Linked DNA regions of Canis lupus familiaris. The protein of the gene in region 1 interacts with the protein of each later gene in a pairwise test. Links are inferred from orthologs where the notes say so. Each region holds a gene or a part of one and is shown in the gene's direction. Other genes may lie near its edges.

Region 1 (3,743 bases):
TGGGGAGCTCATTACCATCTTCAAGGAGCTTTAATTCCTCCCCCTGCTTACGGAACATGGGTTTGTTTTTTTTTTTTTAAGTTTTTCCTTTATAATTGAGGTATAAATCGTTTACCTTAAAGTATGGTGGTTTTTGGTATATTTACGCTTCTCTGAGTCCAGAACATTCCATCACCCCAAAAAGAAACTGTCTCCATAGCCTTCACCCCCATCCCCCCCGGCCCCCACGAGCCCCCTCCCCGTCCTGGACGTGTCACACACGTGGGCTCACACCCCGTGGGGCCTCCTGTGTCTGGTTCCTCCACTTGAAGAAGCAGCTGTCAAGGGACACAGATTCCCACGAAGCAGAGACCGAGCAGACGCGCCCAGTGGAGGCACCGTCTCGGTGTGGCGCTGGCCTGCGTGGGGAGCCTGGGGCCACATGACGGGCTCTCCCCGGCTTTGTTGAACCATCGTGGCTGGTAACAAGCTAACAAGAGTGCCAGCAGGAGCCCCGCTCCTTGTTTTCTGTGGGGGCACGGGCTGCTCACCCCCCTGCAGGCGTTTTGGGGAGACCGAGGTGCTGACTGCTGTGGGTTCCTTGGGCCGGCCGCTCCTCACAGGCCACGGTCCCCAACCTGTTGCTTTTGTCGGTGGGAGCGACCAGGGAGGTCGTGGTGTGGAGGGGATGACACAGTGTTGCGTGACGTGCCTGACCCATCATAGACCCTTAGGTAGCAGAACCCTCTTGCCCAGAATGTTCCAGACCAGGGCTCTCCCCTGGGCATGGCTGACACTGGAACTGATAGTTTTCCATTATGTGGGCGTCCTGGGAGCCGGGGGCTGAGCAACATCCCAGGTCCTCGTGGCCCAATGCCAGGAGCACCCCCATCGTGGTGACCACGGATGTCCCCAGACATGGCCCAGAGTCCCTGAGGCAGGGTCACTCCCGGCCTGGGAGTCCAGCACTTGGAGAGGGACCAAGAGCTGGCCTTCAGGCGGCCTGGAAGGGGCTCCGTGCCCCTGCACCTTTCGGGCTACTCTGGGCCCCTCCCCTCCCAGCTGTTTACCCCTCACTTACTCTTCAGATAGAGCTGGCCAGGCGAGGCGTCTGGGGGCTCAGGATGTGAAGTGTCTGCCTTTGGCTCGGGTCACCTGGGTCATGACCCCAGAGTCGGGGCGGGGGGGACGTCGGCTGCAGCCCCCTGCTTGTGCTCTTGTGCCCTCGTGTGTTTATGCTCTTTCTCTGTCAAATAAATAAAATCTTTAGAAAAGACCTGCCCAGGGCACTTAAAGTGGCTTCCTTGGGCCTGGGGCTCGTGCAGGCCTGGTGAGCCAGCACCCGGAGGTCCGGGGAGCCTGGAGCAGCAGGTGCCACCCGTGCCCTCGGTCTGTGCTCCTCACGGCCCTGGCTTGGCTCCACAGATCTTGAAAACCCCAGGGCATTGTCTCTTCCTGTTTGAAGATGGATAACAAGAAGCGTCTGGCCTACGCCATCATCCGGTTCCTGCACGACCAGCTCCGGCACGGGGGGCTCTCGTCCGACGCCCAGGAGAGCTTGGAAGGTACGTGTGGGCCCGCTGTCCTCCCTGCTTCCCGCCACACAGCCAGCCCCGTCACCTCAGGCCCAGCTTCCTGCAGGAGTTCTGGTGAGCTCCCCATATTTCATCAAGGTGTGGTTCCAGAACATTCTCCACCGTAGTCACACTGATCAGAGAAGAAAGGCTCATTTTAAAGAAAGGGTGGAATGGCCACAGCGCCTGGGAGCCGCACAGGGCTGGGGGACAGGATCCCAGGCTGGACCGGCACTTGAGTGGCCTCTGCCCGGACCCCGCCACCAGCCCCTTGGCGTCCACCTGGCTCGGCCTACAGTGACACAGTGGGAGTTGGCGGTTCGGCACCTGCCATGTGCCAGGCCTTTGACCTGGGTCTCACAGAGAGGGGACTCCCCAGAGCCCCAGAGTCTGGGCTGCATTCAGAAGAACATGCTTCTGTCCACCTCACAGTTGCAATCCAGTGCCTGGAGACTGCTTTTGGGGTGACAGTGGAAGACCATGACCTCGCCCTCCCTCAGACTCTGCCGGAAATATTTGAAGCAGCTGCTGCAGGCAAGGTGAGTTTCTGGGCTTCACAGGATAGGCGTAACAGCAGGAGTCGCCAGGGCCCCCAAGCACCCATGCAAGACCTGAGTTCTCCCCCAGGCTGCTTCCCGGCTGTGGACCAGGGAAGTGGGGGCCCGGCCCCGGCCTGAGGTGCTCTCCACAGTGCCTAGCTGCCCTCGGGTGGCCCCTGAGCAGGAGGGAGGCCGCGGGTGTGGGCTTTTTGGAGGAGGAGACGGTAGGGTTGCCCTCTGCCTGCAAACGACTTGTCTGCCTTGGGACAGGAGGTGCCGCAGGACCTGAGGAGCCCCGAGCGGACCCCGCCTTCAGAGGAGGACTCAGCCGAGGCAGAGCGCCTCAAAACCGAAGGTGAGCTGAGACTGCATCCCCACCAGGCACCTGACCCACCTGGCCTGCGGGGCGGCAGGGCCGGGGGGGCCCTGGGGTGCAGCTGTGGGAGGGGAGCCGGGCCCCTAAGCACGCAGCGCCAGCATGTGGGAGGATAAGCCCCGCGCTCGGCCCGCGGGGATGTATGCGGGGCAGCCGCCAGGGAAGGCATTCCCCGCAGCTCCCCGGTGGCCACACGGCGGGCACGTGGCCCAGCCAGTCCCCTCCCACACCCAGGACAAGTGCAGGCGTGTGTCCACAGCACCCAAAAGGTAGAACGGCCCAAATGTCCATAAACTGGTAAAGGGTGAACAAAACGTGATGTATCCATGTTCTGGAATGTCCCTTAGCCCACATGTACCACCCCAGGGACGGACCCTGAGCCCACGACGCTCAGGGAGGGAACCAGATACAGGAGGCCCCACAGGGTGTGAGTCCATGTGTGTGACACAGCCAGGACGGGCTCGCCCACGCACAGGGGAGGGGGCTCAGGGGCCAGGGGAGGGTGAGGAGTGACTGCTCATGGGGAGGGACTTTTTTGCGGGGGGAATGGAACGTTCTGGAATTAGGTTGTGGCGTTGGACACTTGTGAATTTCTAAAAGCCGCTGAGTCATTCACTTTGAAAACGTGAGTTTTACATTCAGATTACATTTCGTGAAAATTGGTTTCTTGTGAAAGAAGGAGCAAAGAGACTTATGTTTCCAAATGTCACGACCAAAGCAGTGACGGTCATCACCCAGTGCCGGCTCAGGCCAGAACCCAGATCCTCCTCCACACCCCAGCACCCCTGAGTGTTGCATCCTGGCCCCCCGGACCCTCCTCCCCAACGTCTTGCACCTTCAGGGAGAAGCCCGGGAGAGCTGGGCTGGACGTCTCGGCCCCTGGGATGTGACGTGAACAGCTGGGCATACGTTGTTTTTTCTTTCCCTTTAGGAAACGAGCAGATGAAGGTAGAAAACTTTGAAGCTGCCGTGCACTTCTATGGGAAAGCCATCGAGCTGAACCCGGCCAACGCCGTCTACTTCTGTAACAGGTAGCGGCTGGGCGCGCTCGGGGAGGTGTTGACACTGTAATCATTCATCCAGCGCCCAGATAAGCAGCCAGCAGCCTGTGGCCAGCAAGGCGTCAACAGGAGCTGATCGTGGCATTAAAATCAAAGTTAGGGACACCATTCTGCACAGGTGTTGGGTGAGGACGCAAGCCAAACCACGGGTGACCATATCGCGCCTGCGCTCACGGTGGCATTACTGCTGGCCATGGGGAGCCCCGTGTGGCTG
Region 2 (3,743 bases), on another chromosome or scaffold:
TATCCTAACATTTCATGAAAAATGTGTGTGCCCATACTTTATTAATGGAAGCATAAATGGGACCTCCCCTTGCCTCAGGATACTCAGGAGGTAAACTGTGTACAAATGTCACTAGCGTACAGGGTTGTCCTGATTCTCAGCAGGAGCCTCACACACTCTCCAGACCCTCTCTAGCCCCAGGCTGAGCACCACTGCCACACACAATTCCCCAACCCTGCTACTCCCACACACAGAATGCCACCACCCCTGAATTGGGGTGTTTGTCATCTCCCCCAGCCACCCCTCTGCCCAAGCTCTTTGTTGAGCCTGTGGTGCTCTCCATCCACACTGTACCACCAAACACTGCCTGTCCCCCTAGCCTGGCACTGGGCTTTCTCTGGGCCTCTCCTCTTTCCTGGTGCATCTATCAACCATTTTTGGCCTGAGCCAAAATGGCCTTTTGGCACGGAGCAGCCTGGCTCTTGTTGCTGGCCAATCTGTTCTGTGTAGTACCTTTCTCTCCTCACCGGTTATTTCAATTCCTGGAAGGCAAGGCTGACTCTAACGAGGAAGCCACTTCCACTATGCTCCCACCCCCAGCCCAAGCCTCGTGTCAGGCACCCAACAGCTCCTCAAGCCCACTACGTTGTACTTGGCATTTAATCCCTGCCCAACGCTGCTCTTCCCATCTGGTTTCCTAATGCTCTTCCTAACACCCCCTGCTCAGGAGCTTTGCCAACCCCTGTCCACCTGCCAGTTAACATTCTCCCAGGTTCAGCTCCAAAAGGTGTCCTTAAAGGGGCGCCTGGGTGGTTCACTTGGTTGAGTATCTGCCGTTGGCTCAGGTCATGATCCTAGGGTCTAGGATCAAGCCCCAGTCCAGCTCCCTGCTCAGCAGGGAGTCTGCTTCTCCCTCTCCCTCCGCTCATGCTCGTTCTCTCAGATAAATAAATAAATAATTTTTAAAGTGCCCTTAAGGTAGAATTAAATCTTTTCCTCCCTGCCAAGAGCCAATCTTCCACCTCTGCCCTACACACATCCATTAATACCTGGCACACGATCTTGCACCTTAAATTAGATTGAACGTGAGCCTGTCTCATCTCTCTACCCACTCACACCCGGCCAGGAGCACCCTGAGGAAAGGGCCTGAGAGCTGTCTATCCTTGCCCTCACAACCCTCCCTTCGGGGCCTGGCTGCCCAGCATTTATTCTGAGTTCGTTGAATACAAAAGAAACAGGATGCACAGGTGTCCCTAACCCAGAAGCAGACATCCTGTAAACGCCCTGGAGTGCACCCCCTAAGGGGCAGCTCCCTTCGCCGGCCAACGCACTCCGGGGCCACACCACCTCGGGAAGACTCCGCCAGGCGCCCGCAGCCCGGCCGAGCCCGGCCAGGACGTCACATGATTCTCCAATCACATGATCCCATAAAACAGTGGAGGGGGGAGGGTGGGAAGCGAGAAGAAGGGAGGGACGACCGCGAATTGAGTAAGAAAAAAAAGCAGAGCTTTGCAGGCTGGCCCCGCCTCTACCGTCGAGCAGCAGCCAGTAGGAGCGCGACAGCCCGGACGCCTGGCCAATGGGAACGGAGGTGGGCGGGCCGTCGCGCCGCAGGCCCTAGTCCCGAGCTGCCCGGCCCGGCTTCGCAGCGAGCGCGGGGCCGGTCACAGGTAAGGAGGGTGGCCGCGCAGACCTCTCGCTTCCTCGGCAGTTCGGCCGGGCGGACGTGAGGGCTTGAGGCTCGTCTGGAGTTTCAGCCGGGAGGCAAGAGAAGACTGGCTCAGAGAAGCTCCTTTGGGGCTTTCCGATGCACAGGAGGCAGTTTTACGGGGGGCCGGGGGTAAGCAGTGATTGCAGTGACCCCCACGAGAAGGGGGCTCTCTCCCTCTCCAGCGGCTCCGGAAGCTGCAGCCCCTTCCCCAGAGCAGGGACCACCCCATTCTTGAGCCGGCTCCGGGCCGGTCCGGGTGCTGCTGCTGGTGCTGCTGGTGCTGCTGCTGGTGGTGCTGGGTGGTCCCCGGGGCACTGGGAGCGAGAGAGGCGCGCGCCCTGGTCCTGGAGCTCAGAGGGCTGCGAGTGGGCTGGTGGCCCTGCCCCCTCCAGGGTAGCAGGGCCGGGGGGGTGGTGACCGAACGCGGGGGTTGGGTCTGCCGCTCCCGTACTTCCTCTCGTGGGGGGTGGGACCAGCCAACTTCCGCCTCTCCCGGCCACTTTTCCTGCTCACTCGCAGTTGGGTTGGCTCACCTTTTGGGAATCTCTCTCCTGACGCTGGGAGTTGGGGGCTGCCACCTAGTGGAAGATGGCAGAGCTGGGGGCTTGGAGAGGCTCCTGTCCCTCTCTACCTTGGGAGTGGGGGGTGGCGGGAGAGAGGTCATCCTTGGTTGTGAGTGTGTGCGCGCGTCTGTGCATTGGTATCCACTAGAAGCACACGCTGTACTCCCTAACTTTAGGATGCCAAAGACTGCCCCGTGGTCCCAGATTTGTGCAGACAGGCACCTCTTCCGGCCTAAGCCAGGACAAGGGACAGCCTACGGAAGGTTGAGGTGTGACTCCCAAGAAGTAGGCGGGACGAGTCTTGCCTGGAGCTGTGAGTGTAGAGGAGAGGGTGAAAGGGGCCAAGGTATAGGACCAGCCAGGCGGTGTCCCCTGGAAACGGTCTCTGAGCTGGGACTGGGGCCGCGAAGAGAGCCAGGTGAGGGAGAGAAGGATGCAAGTGACTGGCTGGGTGTAAGTCGTCGCCACACCCAGTGTGCAGTGTCCACACAGACTCATGGGGGAACTGAGGCCCCAAGACAGCAACTTTTGAGGCTCTCACCATCAGTGGTGGCAATTCTAGGACTAGCACCCCAGTGCAGTATCCAGCACCCCTGTGCTTCTCATTTCTGTCCTGCCTTGTCCACCTGCTCAGAAAATGCTTCTGTCTCCCTCCTCTGCTTGGACCCCAGGCCTCTACTCTCCTGGGGTTCAGGGGTCCATTCCTGGGCACTGTGCATGGTGCCACCTGGTGACATGAACCCAAGTCTGGTATGCTTTGTAGCTCTCAAAGCCTGTCATCTCCATGACTGGATATATGACAAGGGCATGTTACCGAACTTCTCTGAGCCTCAAAGTAAAGGTAATTAGTACTTTGGATGGCTGTTGCAAAAAAGAAAGAAAATAGGATAGAGTATTGTAACTGGCCCGGGAAAGGCTCAACAAACTTTTTTTTTTTTAAGATGTTATTTATTTATTTATTTATGAGACACAGAGAGAGGCAGAAACACAGGCAGAGGGAGAAGCAGGCTCCTTGCAGGGAGCCTGATGCGGGACTCGATCCCCAGACCCTAGGATCACACCCTGAGACAAAAGCAGACACTCAACTTCTGAGCCAACCAGGCATCCTGAAGCTCAATAGACATTACTAGTCTTGCCCCTCCAGGCAGGGTAACATCTTCTGGGCCCATCCCATTGAACTAGTAGGGCTGGCTGAGCTTGGAATACTCATTTAGGAAGTCAGAGGTTACTCCCCAGAGACTCATGATTGGTTTCTTCTGCTAGTGCAGCTGTGTGAGTGCATGTGATCTTCTTCCTGTACTGCTGAGTTTCAGCTTCCGGGTAGGGGGTCGGCAGGGTTTGGGGGTGGTATGTTTGGGGAGTCTTAAAGGGCCTGGTGGTGTTGGGGGAGCCCAAGGGCACAGGTGTCTCAAAGGCTGGCCCGGCCTGTGCACCCCTTCCCTGGGTGGTTGGGGACAGCTGGGGGGGTAGGTATGGCTGGCCTCTGGGGT

What was found.
Region 2: the proteins of SGTA (region 1) and GRN interact in binary tests that used the Homo sapiens proteins (3 or more experiments, as listed by UniProt). The two-hybrid records come from large-scale screens. The link is inferred for Canis lupus familiaris from reciprocal best matches to the Homo sapiens genes SGTA and GRN.

Annotation. Positions count from the first base shown.
Region 1 is NC_049241.1:56,912,042-56,915,784, forward strand, and holds the start of SGTA (small glutamine-rich tetratricopeptide repeat-containing protein alpha), read left to right. Parts: upstream 1-1,444; coding exon 1,445-1,544; intron 1,545-1,985; coding exon 1,986-2,092; intron 2,093-2,362; coding exon 2,363-2,447; intron 2,448-3,399; coding exon 3,400-3,499; intron 3,500-3,743. UniProt on the Homo sapiens protein: Co-chaperone that binds misfolded and hydrophobic patches-containing client proteins in the cytosol. Mediates their targeting to the endoplasmic reticulum but also regulates their sorting to the proteasome when targeting fails.
Region 2 is NC_049230.1:18,958,044-18,961,786, reverse strand, and holds the start of GRN (progranulin), read left to right. Parts: upstream 1-1,496; 5' UTR 1,497-1,649; exon of another isoform or gene 1,650-1,819; intron 1,820-3,743. UniProt on the Homo sapiens protein: Secreted protein that acts as a key regulator of lysosomal function and as a growth factor involved in inflammation, wound healing and cell proliferation. Regulates protein trafficking to lysosomes, and also the activity of lysosomal enzymes.